3 linked regions of the Oreochromis niloticus genome follow. The protein of the gene in region 1 interacts with the protein of each later gene in a pairwise test. Links are inferred from orthologs where the notes say so. Each region holds a gene or a part of one and is shown in the gene's direction. Other genes may lie near its edges.

Region 1 (7,965 bases):
TATTGGCTGTCGACATAATAAATGTGCCCCAAAGCAGGAATGGGGTCTTTTGAAATGAGCGTCATACATTAAGTTCTTGTTAGAAAAGGTTTGATTTGTGACTTGGTAAGAAATCGTCAGAATTTTTGAAGAAGTGGCTAAATTTATGGCCTGCTGTGAATCAAGACACTGTGAACTGCTCAGGTTTTAAAGTGACTGAAGCTGCCTACAATAATGTAATGTACCATGGACACTCTGGTTATAGTATGTATTAATGTAGCCTTCGTTTCTAGAAATTGATGGAAGTGAACTACCTGGGCAGCGTTTACCCAACACGAGCCGTCATAACCACCATGAAGGAGCGAAGAATGGGCCGCATCATGTTCGTTTCCTCCCAGGCGGGCCAGATTGGTCTGTTTGGTTACACTGCCTACTCCCCATCTAAGTTTGCCCTGCGAGGCCTTGCAGAGTCACTGCAGATGGAGGTATGTGTTTTGCAAAAATGGCCTACATACATGCTTGAAGCAATTCTTAGCATTCCTTAGCATAGAATACGAACGACATTCCACGACCAGAAGTAGGCAGGACTGAAGATAAACTTTTCTCAATTTCCTTCAACTGAAGCGACTACCAAGGAGAATGACATTTGATCTGGGAATAAATGCATTAGAGGTTCACCTAAACAGCCAGAGCCTGGAGTGTCCACAAGCACCCAGCCATCATATGCAACAAGCATATCTCTTGCAGTGTGTTTGCAGCTTGAGTGAAGATGATGATAAAGGACATTTCACTAGCGTCAGTGCTGTAATGATTATACTTTTTCTACGTATAGGTAGCATTCAGGCGAACTTTTATTGTCAAAGAGCTGTTGAAATGTTAACGTATGTAGTTAGTTGTCATGGTCTCAGTAGTGGAATTGCTAAGGCAGTTATTGCTTTGTTTTCCTTCTGCAGATAAAACCCTACAATATCTACGTGACTGTGGCATACCCCCCTGACACTGACACTCCAGGACTGGCTGAAGAGAACAAGACAAAAGTATGCAACAGTACAGAGAAATACGTCCTTTTCTTACTTCCTGTTTTTTTTATGTAAATTTTATTGCTGCTTAAATGCTTGTGGTCGTACCCCCACCCCTCTCTCCCTCTCTCCCTCTTTATCCGCTTTCCTCTCCCAGCCTCTGGAGACCAAATTAATCTCTGAAACCTCTGGAGTTTGTCAACCAGACCAAGTGGCCAAAATCATTGTCAGGGATGCAGTGGTAAGAAGCTCGAATCACATTCAGTGCCCAGTTTAAAAATAAGATGTGTGCTCTGTATTTTGTTTGTTTTTTCCTTTGGCAAATGTATCTGCTTGTTTTTCTTTCATCTCACAGCAGGGGAACTTCAACAGCTCTGTCGGTCCAGATGGTTACATGCTATCAGCGCTCACCTGTGGAATGTCACCCGTCACCTCCATCACAGAGGGTCTCCAGCAGGTACAGCCCTGTACATGATATGAAATTGCAGGAGGCAGCGTTCCTCAGCAGATCTGCAATTTTAAGCCTAACCTTTTTATTTTGAAATTCCCGCACAGATTGTCACCATGGGATTGTTTCGGACCATCGCACTTTTTTACCTGGGGAGCTTTGACAGCATCGTGCGCCGCTGTATGATTCAAAGGGAGCAGTCAAAAGCGGCCAATAAGAGGGAGTAACTGCAGCCTTACCTTCACCACACCCCGATGCCCCCAACCCTTTACCCACTGCCCTCCCAGCCAGTCCCTTCCTCCAGCTGTACAAGTGCACAACCATAGGTGGGGGTGGGGTTTGAAAAATAAAAGGCCATGTCAGCATTTCTGATGTCAACTTTAGCAGATGGAATGGAAGAAAGTGGCAGATGTTTACGTGTCTACTCCACAGACTTGATAGCCATTTAGATGTATTTTTTTCTCCCCTGGTGACTTCAGTTTAATGTGTCCACCTGCTTCTTTTTGTGGAAGCAGCCTTACTTTAGAGGAAAGAGGGGTGACTAAAAATCCCACAGCCTGGGTTTTTTTTTTTTTTTTTTTTTGTTCCCACAGAGAAGAAAAGCAACAGCCCGTCTAACCGGTTGTGCCAAATATGGCCTGAATTTTTTTTTTTTTTTCCCCACCAGAGGCTATAGCGAAAACAGAATAGTTGTTACTCTCTTTTTCATCATATTGTGCCGCATGTATCAGAGATTTCCATCTTTTAGAGAGTTTTTACAGTTTTCACTATATAAGCCCTTTCTTTCCCACCTTTTACATACTTCAGGTCTTTGCAGGCAAAGATCCTTCCCTTTTTTCTCTCTCTCTTTTTTTTTTTTTTTTTTTTTTTCTTTGACTGAATAACCTCTGTGTTTAAAAGCGGTCGTGACCCACAGTGTTTTGTTTATGCTGCAGGATATTTTTGTTTGTGTTTGTGCGTGAACTGAGGTCATACATTATACGACAGTACTCTTCAGTGATATCAAAGGGCAGGAGAGAGCTTGTTATGTTTGTCTTTAATTTTTTTAAATCTATAATGCATAAAATAATCTCCACATATTATCATTATTATTAATAATAGTGATAATATTCCAAAACTTTACATGCAGCGTTGTCGCTGAAAACCGTGTGATGTGAAAGTGTGTTTGCTGTGACTGAGCCGACCACCTCCGGAAAGAGTAAAGCCATTCAAAGTTTTTGTCTCGGGAATAAAGACAGCAAAAACGTTTTCCTCGTCATTCCAGCTAAATGAAGAAAGTAAAGCAGGTACTATGGGTTGAAGCCATGAAGTCGTAAGATTAGGGTGGGAGGGGATACACAAACAAATAAACCAGCACATAATTTTAAGTTTCACTCGTGCACTTGTCAGTTTAATTTAAAAAAAACAAACAAAAAACACTAATAAGTTGCTAAAGGAAGCATGAAGCGTATCATTTTTTACTTGCAGTTTTGTGTGTCAGTGCACATTCTCAGCCACCCCCAGTGAAGATGCATAATCTGTCAGGTTGGTGTAACTCAGAGATGGGCGCGACTCGCTGGATCGAGTCATGTCTCTGTACGTCTAGTGAGGGCGCTGGTGAGTCATCTTATATAATGGCCAAACTTTTGGAGGAACAAGAGTGGAAGTGTTATCCCTCATCTCTACGATGCTCTTTTTTTGTTGTTGTGTTGTTTTGTTTTTTACATGCACTGACGCTGTCGTGCACTGCTGGGACTTCAAAACTCTCTAGATTACAAAATATCGATTCCCTTCTGATTTGTGTCAACTCTTAGTTACCATCTGACTTTCTTATTGTTTTGGATGCAAAAGGAAGAAGAAAATACAATGTTGACTCTTGCAAGTCTTCCTTTGGTCCAGTCGGAGAGAATGTACTTTATAGCAAAGCGATACGAATCAGAACGTAGGAACATTATTTTTTAAATACACCAATATTTGAATGCCAAAATGTGTTAAGACAATTTCTTGAGATCGCAGCACATTTCTTTGTGGTTTATTTTGATGTCGCTGCTCTTTTGATCTTAGTGTTACTTAATAAAAGCTGGATAGCAGCATGTGGCCCATTCTACAGCCTTAAGACGTGACTACTGATGAAGCGAACGCTATGAGAGTGGACCCGTCCGCAGAACAATGTGACTTCATACATTAGTGGATGATTGGTTTACCGGGTGATTTTTTTTTTTTTTTTTTTTTTTTTTTTTGTGACTTATTTGGTGTGAAATGCCAACTGTTTGGGGGGTTTTGTGTGTTTGTGTGTGTTTGGTCAATTTCTAGTGTTTCTATGACAAAAGAAGCCTTACTGAAATCCAAGACATGAAAGTGAGAATGGATGACTCATGTTTGATGATGTTCTCATTTGATATTGGTTAAAGGCGTACTGTCCCGCACTTCAGAGCTTTCCATAAATGTACATTTATTGCTTTAAGAAGGTTTTTCTTTTTTTTTTTTTTTTTTACCTTGAGGTAGCAACACATTGATGGATAGAACATGTAGCTCATGTAAAAGCAGTTTTGTTTTCACTAACACAACTTTAAGCTATGCAAATCAAGCCTCTGCTAACAATATGTTTAAACATACAGTAAAGATTTAAGTTCTGTAAGAGTCACGCTAGTTTCCCTCGTTTAATGGTGTCATTGTCGGATGCTCAATGGATTTAAAAGTCTTGAACATGTCATACTGCACTCTTTGGTTTCACGCTTTTTTTCTGTTTTCTTTGCTTTATACTCTTTCTGCCAAAAAAGCTTAACACCTTCACCTTGTGTGCCATTGAAAGAAAATGTGAGGAGTGGAACATTTCTTTGTCTTATTTTCTTACATGATAAACTAAATAAATACCTGTGAAGAAAACCTAAATCCTTTTACTCCTGGGTGTCCTTGTCTCTTCTTAAATTGCTCCAGACCTCTTAGACTGAACTTGCCTTAAGAGGGGGGGGGAATTAAATTAATCTCAGTATGATCGAGGTTCATAAGTTTTGACAGTGCAGGGTTTGTGGAGGACTGAGGACGTTAAGTATTCTGTTTGATAGAGGATGACATTTAATTTTTTCATAAGGGAACTTCCCGAAGCAGCAGCAGCTCTCGGGTTTGCAGAGTGCAGGACTTTAGATGCTTCGTTAGACCTGTTGGAGAATAAGTAGATGACAAATAGGGGAGATGCTTTAAAAAAGATGAGAAAAGTTTAAAGAAGACAGGGAAAATGTAGAGTGGTGCATCAGTTTTGCACTTGTAAGGTCTGTGTCCACAAGGGGGTGGCTGGACTACATCAAAGCAATCCCTCGCTGGGGTGGTCCTCTGCCCCTAACCCTGTGATCTTTTAAGATTTCTGTCTTCTATCATAAAAAATATCTAAATCTTAAAAATATTCTTGTTTATATAATTTTCTGGGTAACGTGGTCTGCCTTAAAACGAGGACGCAGTATGCAGTAATAATAATATGGCCTATAAATGGTTTGAGCGCAGTTCTTGGTGTGCACTTGGAGCAGCCAAAGGAAAGACTTTCCGCAGCTGACGTCAGGCATACCTCACTAAACAGTGCGGCCCACTAGCGGTGAACAGGGAGCTGCTTCGGAGGATATGTGGAGCAATCGTGGAAGAGGACTCCAGTCCGACCTTGTCTGGCGCACAGTCCCGCGTCTGGTTCGTGCGTAAGGCTGCTAAAACAGTTGGCCGCCTTTAAAACCCCTTCAGGCGTGAACAACTTTGGCTTTCATTCATATTTTTTTTTTAATCGCAACACATCCACGTCTGGGTGATGTGCACAGAAATAGAACAACACTACTCCCAACCTCTTCCGCATATTGGATTTCTATGCAAAGAGAAGGTCGCCAGTGTCCCTCCAAGGATTCGGGAAATGAAGACTGCTGCTGACACGGAACCAGCCTGTTTTGACTTCTAGTGCGTGTTTCTGTGCAGTTTTCTTCAAGGGATTTTCCCCGAGTTCACGAGTAAAGTATCTCCTCTCTGTGTGGGATAATTCGCTGCATTATCTATTTGAATACAGCCCCAGCTTTTTGGACGAGCCTGTGCAGAGCATTGTACGGTGCACACATTTGGTCAAAATGCATTTTATTTAGGATAACCACTGGATATACAAAGTGCCAAATTTGAGCCGGAATGGCGAACGAGTATAATCGCAATATTGTGGAAAAGTATATCTGCCATAAACTCTCCAAGCGGGGATACGTGTGGGGATTTCGCGTTGTCCAAGAAGAAGATGCTGCTAATAACGGATCGATAACTGACCCTCCACCGACTTTGGTCCACCGGTGCCGAGAAGCCAGCACCGGGCCTGACGGCGAGAGCAACACCCACCTCTGCAGACGGCTCCCACAGTCCGACCCACACGCAGGCATCCACAGAGTCCTGCGCGAGGCTGGAGATGAACTTGAAAGACTGTACCAGCCGGACTTCACGGAGATGTCGCGGCAGCTGCATCTCACCTCCGCCACGGCGCAGAGGAGGTTCGCCGAGGTGATAGACGAACTGTTCCGGGACGGAGTGAACTGGGGCCGGATTATTGCTTTCTTCGAGTTTGGGGGCACGGTGTGCGTGGAGTGCGCTTCCAACGAGGGGATGTCATCCCAGGTGGACAACATCGCAGACTGGATGACGGAGTATTTAAATGGACCTCTTAACAGCTGGATACAAGATAACGGGGGATGGGTATGTCTGATTCCGTGTAGTTGAGCGCTTTGCAGCAGTGTGCCAAGGGTTCGCAAAAGTCCTCTTTTAACTGTGATTAAAAGGAATTTCAGTGAGTGAGTTCGGTCAGTGTAGGCCTACACGTTTGATTGAGCTGAAAAGTGCATTTTGATCTGGCTTAACGGGGCTCAATATCGAAACCACATGTGTAGCTGATCATTAAAAAAAGAAAAGTCCCTTTTAAGATGATCTCGTGACGCACGACAGGCAACGAGCGAGATGAACGGCTTTACTTTACTTGCTCTAACTGGCTGATCTCGTTGACTGTTAAACTTACTCGACCAATCAAACAGCGGTTTCTCTATCACACCTCCCGACGCCTCTCTATAAAAAACCCGCCCTGTCAACTGTAGGAGCAGAGGCAGACGCGCAGCTGTCATTGGAGCACAGGGGTTATTATCTAAGGGGAAGTAAAAGCTTAGTTATAAAAAGAAACAGGATTCTGCGTGTGGTGTTGGAGAGAGAGGCCATTTCACCATCCACCTGTATCTGAATCTTCATGCACGAAAGTGCTTCAGTCCCGCTGTCACGTGATGCATTGCAGGCCCTCATTCTTGCAGAAGGGAGGAGGTCAGACACATGTCAGCAAAGAGCAAACTATTGAATTAATGTGTTTAGGCCTCTGGGCATAACTGGACAGGGTTCAGCTTATCAGAGGCCTTTTTTTGGCACAACACACACCTGGCTGAATGCATGCCCACACTGAATCTGAAACAAGCATGCATTGTCATATTCATTTTTCAGGTTTTTGTTACAGCTGCAAACTCTCCTGCAAGAAAAAAGGGGGGTTGCTGTGCACCTCAGTAGTCACCAAAACTGACTTGCAATGAATTAACCTTTAATTAGCCGAGGTGCTCTTAATGAGAGCATAACGTTTGCACTGCCTGGTTATCTTAGCTGGAAGGTATCATAAAAACGGGGCGTGTGTTGAGTGGGCTTATCAATGATTCATATCGAATGTTTCATCTCAAAGGATAGGACCGTTTAACATTCCCCTTGAGTCTGCCTTGCCCCTGGAGGTGGCAGGTTGTGCCACATATCAAAGGGAGGCAACAGAGGGAGGGCCCTCCAAGAACACAGAGTGCTAATCTGCAGCCACTGTGTTTAACATGCCGTCCTCTGTTTGCATCTTGGTTGGGACTCTTTTGTCTGCCTTTTTCAGACCTGTGCCTTGAAGCTGGCGCAGACTGGGGCCGCAGAGATGCCTGCTCGGGGTCTCTGGAGCCCACTGTAGAATAATGTAGGTCATCATAGTTTGGGTTTTACAGCTGGGTGGAGATGACTGTATCTGTGCATCCACTGGAGAGAGACAGACAGAGAGAGAGAGAGAGAGAGCAAGAGCACAGTTCTTTAATCCAAAGGATTATTTAGGATTATTTGAAAGCATATGTCTGCAGTATGGGGAATGAATAACCTCATCCAATTAGTTTTAAGCTCAAAGTAGGCTCTAAAACAGTTTAATCCTGAATATGTTAGTGTTAGCTCAGTTTCTGTTGTAGCTTCCGCATATGCAGCCATGCACCGGTGTTGATTTATATTCATCTGAACGGGTGTCAGGTAGGGAATTTCCTGAGGTGTGTGCTTCAGTTATTGCATGACCTTTAATAACTGACGTTGCAAACACAGCGTTGTCTGTACTCTGGATTGGGTTTGTGAAAACTGGCTTTGCAGATGTTGAAATGTAATAAAAGTCAACTGTGTTTTCAGTCTGTGAAACAAAGCTGGGGGTTTTTTGCTATGTTTTGTCTCCTCTGGAGCCGAAACGACGGCCTGTTTTACACTGACGTGTTTGTGTTTTTG
Region 2 (7,010 bases), on another chromosome or scaffold:
GAGTTTGAAAACAAGTTTGATTCTTTTTGTCGAGTCAAGCTGCTCTGCCCGCTGTGAAAGTGCCATCACCGTCTGTAGCAATCTGCAGCAAACCTTCATTGATACTGAGTGAAGCTCTTGCAAATTTCCTACTCCGGACATCATAATTCTTCCTGATGCATCTTGTCCTGTCTGTAGTATCGATTGTATTCAATCCTTGTCTAGCCTTCCCACCTCCCTCCTTGCACACTGTTTCCACCAGCACCATCATATGCTACCGGATGATGTCACCAATCAACTCCCGATCAAGCTTGCAATAATTTCTGTCCTCATCACTCAGACACCCAACAATTAATCTCTGAATATGCTTCCCCTTATCACACACCAACACACTGGCATAACAAGGTGGATAGATGTGTGGCTTTATAGGCTCACAACTCCAGCAAAGTGTCAGTCTCTGCTTTACGTCTTTTTAAAAGGCTCTAAGAAGCAAATTTACTGCTGATATACACTAACTGGCCACTTTATTAGTTACACCTTACCAGTACTTAACTGGACCCCCTCTTTGCCTTAAATCATTGTGGCACAGATTCAGCAAGGTGTTGTAAAGATTCATCAGGATATTTTTGTTAATTTTGAAATTACAGCATTGGGCAGTTGCTGGAAATTTGCTAACTGGACATCCATGCTACAAATTTCCCACATAATTTCCGCCACATCCTAAAGCTACTCTATTGGAGATCTGGTGACAGTGGAGGCCATTTGAGCAGTGTAAACAAATTGTCTTGTTCAGGAAACCTGTCTAAGATGATATGAGCATTGCGACATGGTGCATTATCCTGGTGGAAGCAGTCATTAGAAAATGAATACACTGTGGTCATAAAGTGATGGACATTGTCACAAACAATACACAGATATTCTTTGGTGTCAAGGCATTTTCACTCAGAAAACTAAAGCTCACTGGGTATTTTCTCTTTCAGACTATTCTCTGTAATCCTTAGAGATGGTTGTGTTGGAAAATCCCAGCAGATCAGCCTGTTTCTGAAACACTCAGCTCAGCTGTCTCGCAACGTTCTCTGTTCAAAGTCACTTAAATCACCCTTCTTCCCCATCCTGATGCTTGGTTTAAGTTTAGGAGTTACTTGATTGGCTGCCTAGGTAAAGAGCCATTGAGCGGGTGCGCCTAATTGTTTAGTCTAAGTAAGTAATTTAGTGTAAGTTACAGTATCTAATTGTGAAATAAAAACATGACAACATGCAGACAGAATGAAGGAAATATCAGACAATAAAAATAATTGCCAAGGATCTCTCTTAATATTTGAAAATTAGGTCCAAGTTAAATCCAGTTAAATATTAATTTAATTTACTCAAAGTATTTTAAAGATAAAGCAAGAATAAAGCAAAATTTAATTCCAATTAGCCTAAATGTTTTTCCAGATGCTTTTTTCAAAATGTAAAGTTTACATGAAAAACAATGAATCTCTTCAGCTGGATGTTGGAGTGGTCCTGCATGCCTCTTCCAGTTATGAAGGGCTGCTTTAATCTGTCTAAAAAGGACATCATTGCATAATTGCTGCATAACAACACATTTGTAGTAAGTTACTACCACTACAGTAATTTATTAATACCATGTGATGTGGAACCAAATGAGCTAGCCTACTGGTCCTCAGAGTACCTCCTGAGGATATCGAGATGAGTTTCATTCTCACTTCTGAAGCTTGGAACTCTTTCGCTAACTAAGTAGCTAGCTAAATACTGTGCGTAATGTAGCTCTTTGGCTACAGCCGAAGATTTATAATGGAATATTTTTAAGTGCAAATCTGATACAAATGGATAAACAAAATTATAGTTTCAGTTTGTAAAATGCATGCATGGCTAACTCCGTGAAAAAGCTTGTCTGTTTTTTTTTTTTTTTTTTTAATTAAAGGACAACATAATGTGCTATCTATATTAGATACAATAGTTCGTTAATGTTTATAAATATTTGCAATGCAAAGTATTGATTACAGAAAACTGTTTGGATAGTTAACATGGCAAAATTAGAAAAAAAAATTAACACACATTTATTTATTTATATGAAGTACAGTGTCTCATATTTTCAGGGCTCTTTAGTCTCTGAAAACGTTGCTTTGGCTTGTACAGCCTTAGAGTCTAATACAGTGTCTGTGGCCTGCAGTGTTGATAGCTGCTCTCCTTGATGGCAACAGTGGATCTCACAGGTATGTCTACAATAAACACACTGCCAGGCCTAGTACAGGTGGCATTAAGATAAGCATGAGAGCCACAACCTGGGTAGGTGGTACAGATTTATAGTATTCCTTTTTCTTTGTGAAATGTTTTGATTACTGGCCTCTTCTTTTGATGTTTTTTCCTAAAATGTGGCTGATAGCAAAATTGTAGAGACTGTTTATTGGCTTGCAACCTGAGTGGAACGGTGTGTTCCCTGTTTTTGTGCCACCAGGTATTATTGTTCACACACTAATGATAGGTTTTCTTATACCACAATTTATTAATACGTTTGCAGTCTGGTTAATGCAAACAGGAATTTGGCTTTCTTCTACCCGGAAGGCAGTGTGTCTGATACAAATGGCAGATTATCTACACAGATCAGTGATAGGTTTCCAGATACAAATTTCTAGTTTAATTGAATACCCAAAATTGGGACTTCCTTCCTTGGCTCTTTTGTGAATATTCCTTATGTCTGTCTGTACACATTAGCTGATAAATCCAATTTATGCACTTTAATTTGGATATATGTTTGAACTGAGTTTGAGGTTTGAGATATTTTTCTGTATTTTTAGCTGACATCTACATCTAGTAGAGCTAAACATTAAAAACATATAAGGTGGAACATCACTAGCACCACAAACTGAAGCACCACTCACTGCATGCTTTTGCAAACTTTATTTCTCATAAGATATCAACTATTTGGTAACATTTTTTAACAAAGTATTTTATCTGTGTTTTAAAATGATGTGGTAAACTGTGTAAACCTTTGCCTGCGAGGAAGCAGTACACAACCCATAATAATAAGCCCCCACAGTAATGCAATTTAGGAAGACTAATGAGCCAAACTAATTTCCATGTCCACAAACATAATTGCATTTGCAAGTCCCAAATTTGAGATTGTAGATTTGGACTAGCCTGTTGAAGAAATTGTGAACAATAAATACAGTATAATATATGTCTAGCTGTTCAAAAACAGCATGTTGTTATTCAATTCTTGGTTGAAAGAAAAACTATACAAACGAGTAAGCATTAATTTAATTAGGTGGCTAGACTATGGAACCGACACATAGACATGCAAGAGTAAAGATCATTGATTATGAGTTTTACACTATGAAGTTGTGTAACTTTCAAGTTAGAATCCGACAACCTCCTATGAGCGGGTTGGCGACAGTGGGATGGAAAAACTCCCATTTGGCAGGAACAGGCTCAGGGAGGGGCAGTCATCTGCCACGAGCAGTAGAGGGTGAGGGAAGGGAGACAAAACAAAAGGCACCCTATAGAAGAAAGCCATAGATTAATTATAAAATGCAGATTGGTGTAGAAACACCGTCTGCAAAGCCTGTGACTTTTTGGTGACTTGTAATTTTCCCTTTTGAGTATGGCATTAGACCGGATGACCTTCTGACTATAATAAAAAAGCCTTCACTTCATATACAAAGGGTAAAAGCCAGACTTTAGAAAAGTGCATATCCTGCAGACCCAGTCAAAATGTGGGGCATTGTCTCAAGCTGTGGGATAGGGGGGGGATCTGGTCATCCTAGTTATGACTGCCCTCTGCAGACAGATGTGTATAACTGCTGCAGTGAAGGTTAAACCAAAAATGTGAGACACAGTCAGCTGACATAAGCACATTTTCTCTGTAGCGCTGCTTGCATAACATTTTCACAAATAACTCGGATACGTGTTTATCGAGGTGGGTCATAAATCGTGTCCTTGTACGCGGGCGTGAACGCGCATGAACAACACGCAGGGAGAGCGTGGCGCGCGTGCTCTCCTTTCCGAGCCAATCACATTTTAGATAAACACAATGTTGCGTCATTGTTATTGTGGTAGTTGGAGCTCCAGCTGCTTGCAGGCATTTCGCCACCATTTCGCTGATATATAGGCCTTTAAACCTGCGGAGACTGCATTATACCGCTGCAATGTCACTACCGGTGGACACTTCCTCTGACGAGAGTCTGCAAGGTGAAGTATTTACGCCGAATATACATTGCCAGTGTTGTTGTTAGCGGTAGACGATAGTTAAACACCACGAGTAAATAACGTCACCTAGCCTGACCACGTGAAAAGCCAGTCGATAGGGGTGTTTAGCTAAATAGCTAGATTGAATCTCAACTCCACATTGATTTATATACTTATAAGACGTGTAGACACAGCTATACAGGGTAGGCCATCGTTCCAGTTAGTTATTAAGGCTAATCTGCAGAGTTGACACGATGAGAATGCCTGCAAGCTAAGAACAGTCCTCATTTGTTTATTGTTCCTTTTTGCGCAGAGACTGCATGCCCATCCTAGCCGAGATAGGCCTGTGATGCAGTACTGGATAACCGGGATTCATGTTTAAAGACTTTGCATTTGATTTAAGGTTCCTGGGTTGAGCTGCATTTCAGTGGGAATGGCTCCCAAAGTGCCAGTCAACAAGGAAGCCAGGAGCAAATTCCCTCATCCAGCCTGGCGGCCGACATGGAGAATATGTTGCTAGAAGCACAGCACGAATCAGGCAGGAGCAGCTCCAGAGGAAGCTCTCAGTGCAACAGGTTGGTGGGGGTGGGCAGAAGGGGGAAGAGCAGTTCATGTTTTTCCTCTGTTTGTTGAGTAATATGAAGAAGTTGTGAGCTGAGTTTCCCTTATGTGTTTCCTTCTTCTTCTTCTTCTTCTTCTTCTTCTTCACAACAGCCCACGCAGAGCACAGACCCCGCTTCTTCTGTGGAAAGGCTCAGAGGGGAACAGCTCACAGGTACATTAAGCCTTTCTCACAGCCGAAATTTGGACATGTTATAGCAGGCAAGGGAAAGTAATCTTAATTATAATGGCGTTCCACTTAAAGGAGGTCCTTACTTAACAGCTGAGTCAGGCTTTTCCTGCTTTGACAAGTCGAAAACAATCTGTTTACTTTATATGTAGTTTTATTTGTATGCATTATTCATAACTATGTTAAAGCTGAATGTATTTTGACATGATTTTATTATTATTATTTTTAATTAATTTTTCTCCTTTTAGTCAGATGAAGATTTCCAAGAGAGAATACGGGAAGTTGAGAACCTGATGAAGAAAAATGCTGACTGGATCTGGGACTGGTCTAGCCGACCTGAGAACAGTCCACCAAAGTAAGTAGTCATATCACAATTAGAGATAATCTTTTACCCCAACTATAATTATTACATGCCATGATTTGTAATTGTGATTCATAGAATTTGAAATGATGTCTGTGTGAGCAAAGGTGCCGGTGTGACATTAAACTGGCACTCACTTGATTTTAATGTATTCAGAACAATGAAAAATTAATGTGTCGCTCTGTAGGGAGTTCCTGCTGAAGCACCCTAAGCGCTCAACCTCTCTCAGCATCAGGAAAACCAGCGTCATGAAGAAGGGAGGCTTTCTCTCTTCTGACTTTCTGAAGCTTTTCCTTCCATCATTTATCATTTCCCACATACTCGCTGTTGGCTTAGGGTAAGCAGCATCATTTAATCTTTAACTCAGGCAGTATGTGAAAACTAAAAACAACTGTACGGGAGCCTCTTCAGTTGCTGCAGGAACTGTTGACCCACTAGACCTGATGTATTCTATTTTCACATAAATATTGGGATCATTTTACATGCACTTAAAATTGGTATTTGTATATTAACTGATGACCAATCAATAATCTCTTAACATTTGCAGGATTTGCAGGATAGAAAAATGACAGTGTCATCATAACAAAACACTGAAATATATGTAAAAATAAAACAAACATAATGATGTTTAGAACAGTGCCTGACTGGATAAACAGCAGTCCAGTTCAGTGTCTGACATTTTATAGGTTTAGGTAGGATAATCCCTGAAGTATATCACCTTCAAAATGACAGAGAATATAATTGTCTTTATTTAGGAGCCTGTGGTTATTATTCTATAGAGCATTATTTCAACACATCTTATTTTGGACTTTTACATTAAAAAACTACCACATAAACTCACTGGCCACCTGATTAGGTACACCTTAAACAAATTGGTGGAAATGTTCTTCAGAGATTTTGGTCCATATCAGTGATGCTCTGCTGGTATGAAGGGGCCCAAAGTGTGCCAAGAAAATATCCCCCATGCCATTACACTGCCACCACCACCATCCTGAAAACTACAGGATGGATCTTTCATGTTGTTTATAGCAAATTCTGTTTTATAACAAATGTTTTTCCAATTTCTTTTTAATGTCCAGTTTTGATGAGCAAATGCAAATTAAAACCTTAGTTTCCCATTCTAAGCTGGAGAGGCAGCGCTTCTGCATACCTTGCTTGTAATGAGTTATTTGAGTTACTGTTGCCTCGCCATCAGCTTGAGGCAGTTTGGCCATACTCCTCTGGCATCAATAAGGCATATTCAACCAGAGAACTGCTGTTCAAGTTTCTCTTTTTCAGGCCGTTTTCTGAAAACCCTAGAGATGGCTGTGTTGGAAAATCCTACTTGATCAGCAGATTCTGAAACATTTAGAACAGCCTATCTGGCACCAGTAGCCATGCCACGTTCAAATTCCCTTGAGTCACCTTCTCCATTCTGTTGCTTGATTTGAAATTCAGCAGGTCATCTGGGCCATGTCTGCATGCCTTAATGTTTTGAGTTGCTGCCATTGGCTGAAAAGTTGTACCTAATTTGGTGGTCATTGAGTTTGCATTTTACCCGGTTAAAAAACTATTTCAGTAGATACATATAGTCAGTTGTGTTTATGTTTTAAAGCTGCATCTTAATTTCTCTGTTTTCTTCTTTCCTGGTAGGATATATATTGGAAGGCGCCTAACACATCCTAAATAGGATCGTGACGCTTGGCACTA
Region 3 (7,652 bases), on another chromosome or scaffold:
GTTTAATAAAAAATTTGAATATGTGGTGAAACTTAAAATTCATAAGAGGTGTGCATGCTTTTTTTTTCTATTCACGGACATTTTTAGCTTTTTTCCTTATGAACCATAGAGGAATAATGTCATGCAGCTGTAGAGCAGGAGATCTGCAAAATACTAAACATAGTTCTTAAACTGCCATTACTATGCCATTACACCTTGGCATTTACTGGGGCATTTCTCGACCACATTTTGCATGGTGCACACGATATTCCTCACGTGATCAAAAGGGAGGCATATTGAGGGAAAGCAGTCAAAGATCTAGCTCCACTCAATTAGCTTCAGCAAGATAATTAATCAGTTCAGTATGCACATCCAAGTCTCAGAGGCGTCTTTGAGATAATTGTTCTCATTGACTTGAATAATTATTTGTTTGCTGATTTAATTATTTTCACATTTGGAAAACAAATGAATGCGTGCTGGTACATACTTTGGATCTCTTTTTTTTTCTTTTGATGTATGCAGGTGAGTGTCAGACTAAAAGAATGACTGAAAACTTCTTTTCAGAAAATATCTCTTGAGAAATTATCTGGAACCAAATTCAGACAATTGTGTTTTTTTAAACCATAACCTCAACGCGAAGACAGTCAATAAAACATAAAATGTTTCTTCCTTGTGGCATCAATACAAACTACGATGAATCAAAGGCTAATATTTCTCAGACAGGAGGTCATCTCAGGGTTACAGACACAGAGTCCTCGTACACTGACTGGCACGGTGAAAACAATTGTCAGAGTCCTCGGTTCACACCATTACAAGTGCGACTGAGACCTTGCGGCTACTGTAGCAAATAGCACAAATTATGGGGGCCATTTTAATAGCAGTCTCTACTATTTATCATGCTGTTTTAAATGTTTTGCTCATTTGTTTCCATTAAATATTTCATCTTCCCTTAAATATTCATTTAACTTCCTCTTTAAATTTTTTACCAGTCTCTTTGCAGTTGCTATCTTCTTGCCTCCCTTTTAGGCTTTGCAATCATAAATAATTATTCATCTACACCCAAAAAGAGATTGCATAAAACATGCACATGAATCCTTTTTGTCTTTTCTCATTAGTGATATACTTCGAGTAGCCTAAATACTTCCCGCTACCCCACTTATGGAAATTGGTCGGAGAACCTTCCTAATGATTCTGCTTCACAAATAGGATACAGCCTGCATTTCTGATCCTAACATTCATCCCATCCTTTCAGGATGAAAGGCGGGGTCGGCTGCAGATCCCAAGTTTGTGTATTACTTTTAAAAGGAGGACTAATCCTGACATATTATCCATCAGACAATGCTCTTTTAGATTTTACTGTTTTAACCCAATGCTGGGCTCCGGTGGACCTACTGTACTCTGAATGCCTGCTTCCTGGTACTTAACTGTATATTGAAGAAAAAGATATACCAAAAAAAAGAGAGTGCAACACAAATCCACAGCATTTGGATTTCCTAAAATATTTCCAGAAGAAAATTATAAAAAAAATAAAAAGTCATCACATCATTTATAAATATTTAAGATAAATTGGTATTCCTTGGCTCAGTATATTTTCCTTGGCTAAACAGCCAACATTTGTCTTAATTTGTTAGATAATTTCAACTTGCCTTATTAGCATGTAGTGCCATGTTGGAAGGTGAAAGGGAAGCATAAACTCTCAATTTGACTGGATTATCCTTTTGTGATGAGGCCTAATGATCCAGCAGAGTAAATAGCAAAGTGTTAATTAGAAATTACAGTGAATGATCCGCTGCACACAGAGGAGGTATTAATCGGGCTGCATCATTATATTATACTCAGAGTTGTTTTTTCTTTTCTTGTAAAAATAATATATCTAAAAAAATATATATATATTATTTCCGATGTAGCTAATATGCTCCAAAAGTGCCAACTGACCAGCAATGCCTATAAATAAAACCACCCCTAGGTGTGACTGAAATTATATTCTACTGAAATTAACTATTTTCAAAAATATGTACATGCTGTTCACTAATGTAATTATTCCTCAATTCGTATGTCTTTCCTAATTTGTTTTTTAATTTGGAAAATATTATGGAAAGGGCCTTGTAATTGTGGCTGCAGCTGGCAGTTACTTCTGAATAAATCTCAGACTTTGCCTAATTTGGATGTTGCACAGTTCATGGCAGATTTTAATCAATAAAGGCGTCCCCCTAAACTACAACATTTAAGTAAGCATTTGCCTCCACCTAGTGGTAAATGTTGGTTACTGAGGCTAGAGCTGCCAATAAATATTCAATGACTACTGTAAAGACTGGAATTCTGCTGGTAGAAACCACATATTGTTTCTATTATATGTCATGAATAATTAAAAGATTGTATTTTTTTTTATTTGTAATAGTTTTCGATTTTTTAATTATGTTAATACAATAACATCTTTAAATTATTTCTTTGAACTGATCTTTTTCCCAGGTGAACTGATTGTACAGTATGCATCTTTAATGACTTTAACAAACAAGTACTGGGTGCACAAGTTTGAATATAGTTTGGATTTTCTCTAATCCACACAGCCAAAAGTATACATACAGACTCTTAACATATACATAAACTTCATTTTTAATTGTATTTTTAATTTATTTTTTAAATAAATGGTGCTGAAGGTTCTCATTAGTGATCACAGTTGACTACAACTGCTAATTTCTCATCACCAGCATAAAAAGGGTTTCTTTGAGAGCACTAATTGGACCGAACAACACTTTTAAAATGGGAATGTCTAAGGAGCTCAGTGAAGAAGGAAAGTTGTAGATTTACATAAGCTGCAAAGGTCTTGGGGACCTTTCTAAGCAACTGCAGACTCCAAGATCATCAGTTTAAACAAGTGCAGTGCAGGTTCTTTGGATGTGTCACCACTTTGCCAAAATCTAGAAGAAGTGCCCAAACTGTCACCCTCAGATAAGAGGAAATATGTTAGGATGTTCAAGAACAACCCAAGAACAAACAAAACTCCAGCCTGTGACGGTGCTGACCAAGAAGGGAGCCTCTGCTCCAAAATCAACACCTTTCAGCTTGACTGAAATTTACAGCTGCCCACATGGACAAGCCAAATGCCTTCTGGAGAAAAGTCTGGAGAAACACTATCTGACCAAAAAGATTGATCTATGTGATCACAGTAAAGAGCTATGTTTGAGTTTCACAATAAAAGTGAAACTTTCAAACCTAATAACACTGAACCAGCTGTCAAACTTGGTAGTGATATCGTCATGTTCTAGGATTGTTTTGCTATCAGTAGCACTGGTACATTGCACAAAGTGAAAGAAATAATGCAGGAGGACTACCTCAAAATTCTTCAGCTTCATCTCAAATCAACAACTGTTGATTGTTGAAACGTGGACACAGTTGGGTGTTCTAACAGGACAATGATCCAAAGCATGCATCAAAGCTGGTTTTGGAATGGATAAAGCAAGTGGTATGACCTTTCCAAGGCTCTGACCAAAACTCTATTGAAAATTTGTGGACTACGTTTGAAAACTGGGTCAGTGCCAGGAAACCAACCAATTTAAATGAACTCTTTGCCAAGAAAGAGTAAAATAAATTCAAATTCAAACTTGTGCACCCAATTTTTGTTTTTTAAAGTCATTAAATATGTAGAAGGTAGAAAGCTGATAAAACAGAGAGGGCTTCTAAAATACCAATGCCATTGCATTATACACAGGACTGGTTCAGTTTACTTTGCAATATAGTCAGCTACTGACCTCAAGTGACATTATTTCATGTAGTTAATAACTAAATCCATGAACTTTGAATTTCTTTGAAAGAGATGGATAGAGCTTCAAAAAATTTGACTTACACAATAATGCTTTTCTTTTCTATGCAAACAGAAGAACTTTGCATATTCAGCATTTACAGTTAGTCAAACCAAATTAGCCTTGCAAAAACAGAGGCCTACTATACAAGACAAGTCACAAGTATGCACTTCAACAGCTTCATTATTTCATTGGTAATGATGAAAAAAGTCATATTTTAAATATTTACTGAAAGGATAATCAAGTAATCACTGACGAAGTGACTATAATCCGATTACATATCTTTTTAAAAATGAATTGCGCTCAGAGTTACTTATTTGTGTAACCTTATTAGCTAAGAGATTATTAGCTAGATTAGGTATAAATGTTACTGCCCTAATGTAATGAAATCTATCATAACACAAACTCTTTTTACAGTGTTGCCTTTTCAGACACAGTCTCATTAATGCTTATTAAATAAATTGAATAAAAATAAAAAGTAAAAAATAAAAATACTTTGGCTTGACTGACTAACTAGCAGTTACTTCCCACTGTAAGAGAGAACAGTGCGATTCCTAGTATAAATCATTACACGAAATCAACACGTTGCGGTTTTTAACCTTTAACCCACTGCTGCACAAATCACTAATGGGTAGCGAGATGAAAGCAAGAAATACAGTTTGGACAACAGAGCTGGATTAGAGACGTGTGTGAACCAGACTGTGTAGTCTATACCGTGTCATTTCTATGTTTCCAGTATCAGCAGAGGGCAGTGAAGCTTGCTAGGGTAGAGACGCTTCTGCGGCTCATGGAAGGACCATTGCTATTAGGGGTGCCAGATTTGCTCGTTTTCCACGGACCAGAGCAGTCTGAGCCAATAACTCTAGGTATATTACGTTGTTTTGTTTTTTATCATTATTATTACATACTTTTTATCTACATTTTACTAACTTTATTTTATGTGGGACACCCAAAAAGAAGTTTCAGTTTTGAAAATATAATATCATTATGTAACTCGTGGTCGCAGCGGGCCAGTTAAAAGAAAAGCTTACAGTGCACCAAAATGACATTTTAATTAAATTTAGCGTGCTTTTGTGTGCTTGCATACAAAAAATAAATTCATAAATTTTACACGTAACCACGAACTGGGTCGTTTATGCCGAAGAACCTGCAGGAAACACAACTGGCAACTCCGCTGACCATAAACTGTATGCATATACACTATGATAGAGCTAGGCGTTGTTAGCAAACAGTTAACTTCTGCCGTTTAGTAGCCGAGGCTCGTGTGTCGGCAAATTAAAAGGAAGTAGTCTTTGTATTTAACATGGGTCCAAGAAAAGACTGTCCTTACGTTGAGCTGTAGTTGATAACTGCCGAAATATTTCTTTTTTAGCTCATAGACGGCGTTAATTGGAATACAAAGCTTGTTTTGTCGTGGCTAAACTTTGCTAGCTCCAAAGCTAGCCTGACTGAATGTGTTACGTCCACCGGAGAGCCCTCTGGACTTGGAGGAAGGAAGGAAGGAAACTGATAAGTGGGATAACTGCGCACCTATGCTCCTGCAAAGCTAGAACTCTATAGGACTCTTGAGTTAACACCGTGACGCATTTAGAAAAGGTGACTATCTGTAGACTTAGCGTGATATTTGACACTGTTTGGTTAATGAGATATGCTGTTAGTTGGCATAGCTAGCTGCTAGCGCCACGTCTCTGGGCTAGCTGTACAGCAGACGAGAGCTATCCTGTTAGCCACAAACTTCCAAAGAAGTTGTGTAAGTCAGATTTTTCTTTCTGGTTGATTTGGTCAAGGAGCTGAACGGTGATTAAAGCATTTCACGGTCGGACTCTTTAACTCTGATCTGCTGTACCACCGGGACAACCGGAGAAACTTATGGCATCGGATGTGATTGAGAGTGAAGCGGTGCTGAAGGGTGTAAGTGATATGAATTTGAACAATAGCAGCCCAGATACTGTCACACCCAGGGGGACTCTTGAGGATTTGGGAAACAGACAGACGTCCAGCCCGTCATCATCCGGTGTATCGGGAGAAGGCGATGACGAGGAAACAGACGAATTGCAAAATACCACAGCTTCTGCTCCAGAAAAGGGCGAAGAGGAGTTTCAAGACAGTCTAACCAAAACAAGCGGTACGCCACAGGAAAGGAAGACTCCAGACAATGTGCAGAAACAACGAGGAAAAAGCTCTACCCCGGTGAGCGTTCCCCAGCCACGCTCACCAGCTGGAGCCACTGGAAGGTGTGTATTTGGACATTTTTGTGTTTTCCTTACATAGAAGCAAACTATGAAAACATTAGCACAGATATGGTTTAGTCACTCCCAGAGTCAAACGATACTTATGTCGGTGGTTCTAAAGTGGACGTAGGTGTACATGTGACTGTGTTTGTGTGTCTGCCTTTGTGTTGGTTATAGCGCAGTGTAACGACCTGTGTCAGTTGGGATAGGCCAAAGAGCGTTGTATCATGGCCTACAGTCTGTGAAATGTATCTCATACATGTCTCTCATGAATGATAACAAGCCATTTTCAGTCAGAAAAGTATCATAAAGTAGAAGCTGAAATCAGTTTTTGGCAGAGTGACTTTTATATATCCTTTTATTTATTCTGGTAGAAAGTCTCGTTGACATTAAAAATTCAATTTTCAAGAGGGAAGGGGGAATTGCAACAAATGTAACATTTCTTTAAAGCTTTTTTAATTGGCTGACTGGCTGGGTTGGTTATAATATAGAACACAGAGTAGGTACAATATTGCAGAATCATACAACCAGGTCATTACTTTATTTTATATATAACCCCCTTTTTTAAAATTCTGCTCATGACAGCCTGTTCATCAACTTAAGTAAAGATATTAGATGCATAAAAAAGAACACAGAGAAATTGGCAGTCACTTTTTAGCACAACACTGGTCCTCTTCAGGAGGATGTGTCAAAGGTATGGATTTCAGAATTGACAAGCAACCTATCCTTAACCATTTTTTGTCAATACATATTGTTTACTGGGAGCCAATCACTCCTGCGTCTTCATTCCACTTCTCTTATTAGATATTTGTCAGTAAAGTCTTTTGTGCAGCAAAAAATAAGCAACTTGACATGGTGTGGATACTCGAGCTCTAAAACATTTCTAAACTATTTTTAAAAAATAATTAAAAACACACACCTATAAGTACAATTTTTTTGCAGTAATCTTGAAAATTGCTTGTCCAGGAGTCAACTTCCAAAAATGTCATCATTTAACCTCAGAGTTCATCTGCATCTTTGTAGCACTCGTATTGTGCTCTAAAAATATTTGTTTTCAACATCTTGCCAGAAACTGTTGGAACCCAGCCATCCCGAAACTAATTCAGGACCATTAGATTACTTTGGAGATCTTAAGTTCAGAAAAAGCTGTTTCAGTTTAGCCAAACTGTTCATATACAAAGGTTTGTCTAACTTCTGAACTGGTTAAGATGTGAAATTGATAGTTTTCTCTACTTATAGATATTAGTGCACTTTGCTCTACACCTCTCAGGGCTGTATTTTTTAACGCTTGATCAGCCATTTTATTGGAAGTATTGTGAATATTAATTGGAGGGAGCTATAAAGCTAATAAAGAATAGTAACAGACTTAAACCTTTCACATAACTAAAACAGGAAAAAAACGCAGCAAAAATGAATGTAGATGCAACGATAATCTTATAATAATCTTGTATTTGTTTCATTTATGTTGAAGTTATGAATACAAAAAATGACTTCTCATTTAACTGGTAACACATTTAATTTTGCCTTGAGCTTTATTTAAACAAATTAGCATTCCATCTTTAAAGTTTTCCATAGTTGAACCATCCCCCACTGATATCTATATTAATTTAGTTCTTTATTATGCTAAGTATAATAATTACAC

The links.
Region 2: the proteins of apoptosis regulator Bcl-2 (region 1) and bnip4 interact in a two-hybrid assay, tested with the Homo sapiens proteins (2 studies listed by BioGRID and IntAct). The link is inferred for Oreochromis niloticus from reciprocal best matches to the Homo sapiens genes BCL2 and BNIP3.
Region 3: the proteins of apoptosis regulator Bcl-2 (region 1) and bnip2 interact in a two-hybrid assay, tested with the Homo sapiens proteins (3 studies listed by BioGRID and IntAct). The link is inferred for Oreochromis niloticus from reciprocal best matches to the Homo sapiens genes BCL2 and BNIP2.

The regions. Positions count from the first base shown.
Region 1 is NC_031982.2:16,825,786-16,833,750, reverse strand, and holds the start of apoptosis regulator Bcl-2, read left to right. Parts: upstream 1-4,949; 5' UTR 4,950-5,577; coding exon 5,578-6,126; intron 6,127-7,965. Other genes in the region: kdsr (3-dehydrosphinganine reductase), read left to right, coding at 273-464, 933-1,016, 1,156-1,239, 1,354-1,455, 1,554-1,673. UniProt on the Homo sapiens protein: Suppresses apoptosis in a variety of cell systems including factor-dependent lymphohematopoietic and neural cells. Regulates cell death by controlling the mitochondrial membrane permeability. Appears to function in a feedback loop system with caspases.
Region 2 is NC_031978.2:14,389,579-14,396,588, reverse strand, and holds the start of bnip4 (BCL2/adenovirus E1B 19 kDa protein-interacting protein 3), read left to right. Parts: upstream 1-4,003; 5' UTR 4,004-4,130; coding exon 4,131-4,173; intron 4,174-4,573; coding exon 4,574-4,745; intron 4,746-4,884; coding exon 4,885-4,945; intron 4,946-5,208; coding exon 5,209-5,315; intron 5,316-5,508; coding exon 5,509-5,658; intron 5,659-6,953; coding exon 6,954-6,990; 3' UTR 6,991-7,010. UniProt on the Homo sapiens protein: Apoptosis-inducing protein that can overcome BCL2 suppression. May play a role in repartitioning calcium between the two major intracellular calcium stores in association with BCL2.
Region 3 is NC_031972.2:52,314,036-52,321,687, reverse strand, and holds the start of bnip2 (BCL2/adenovirus E1B 19 kDa protein-interacting protein 2), read left to right. Parts: upstream 1-4,549; 5' UTR 4,550-4,645; intron 4,646-4,825; exon of another isoform or gene 4,826-5,566; 5' UTR 5,567-5,648; coding exon 5,649-6,013; intron 6,014-7,652.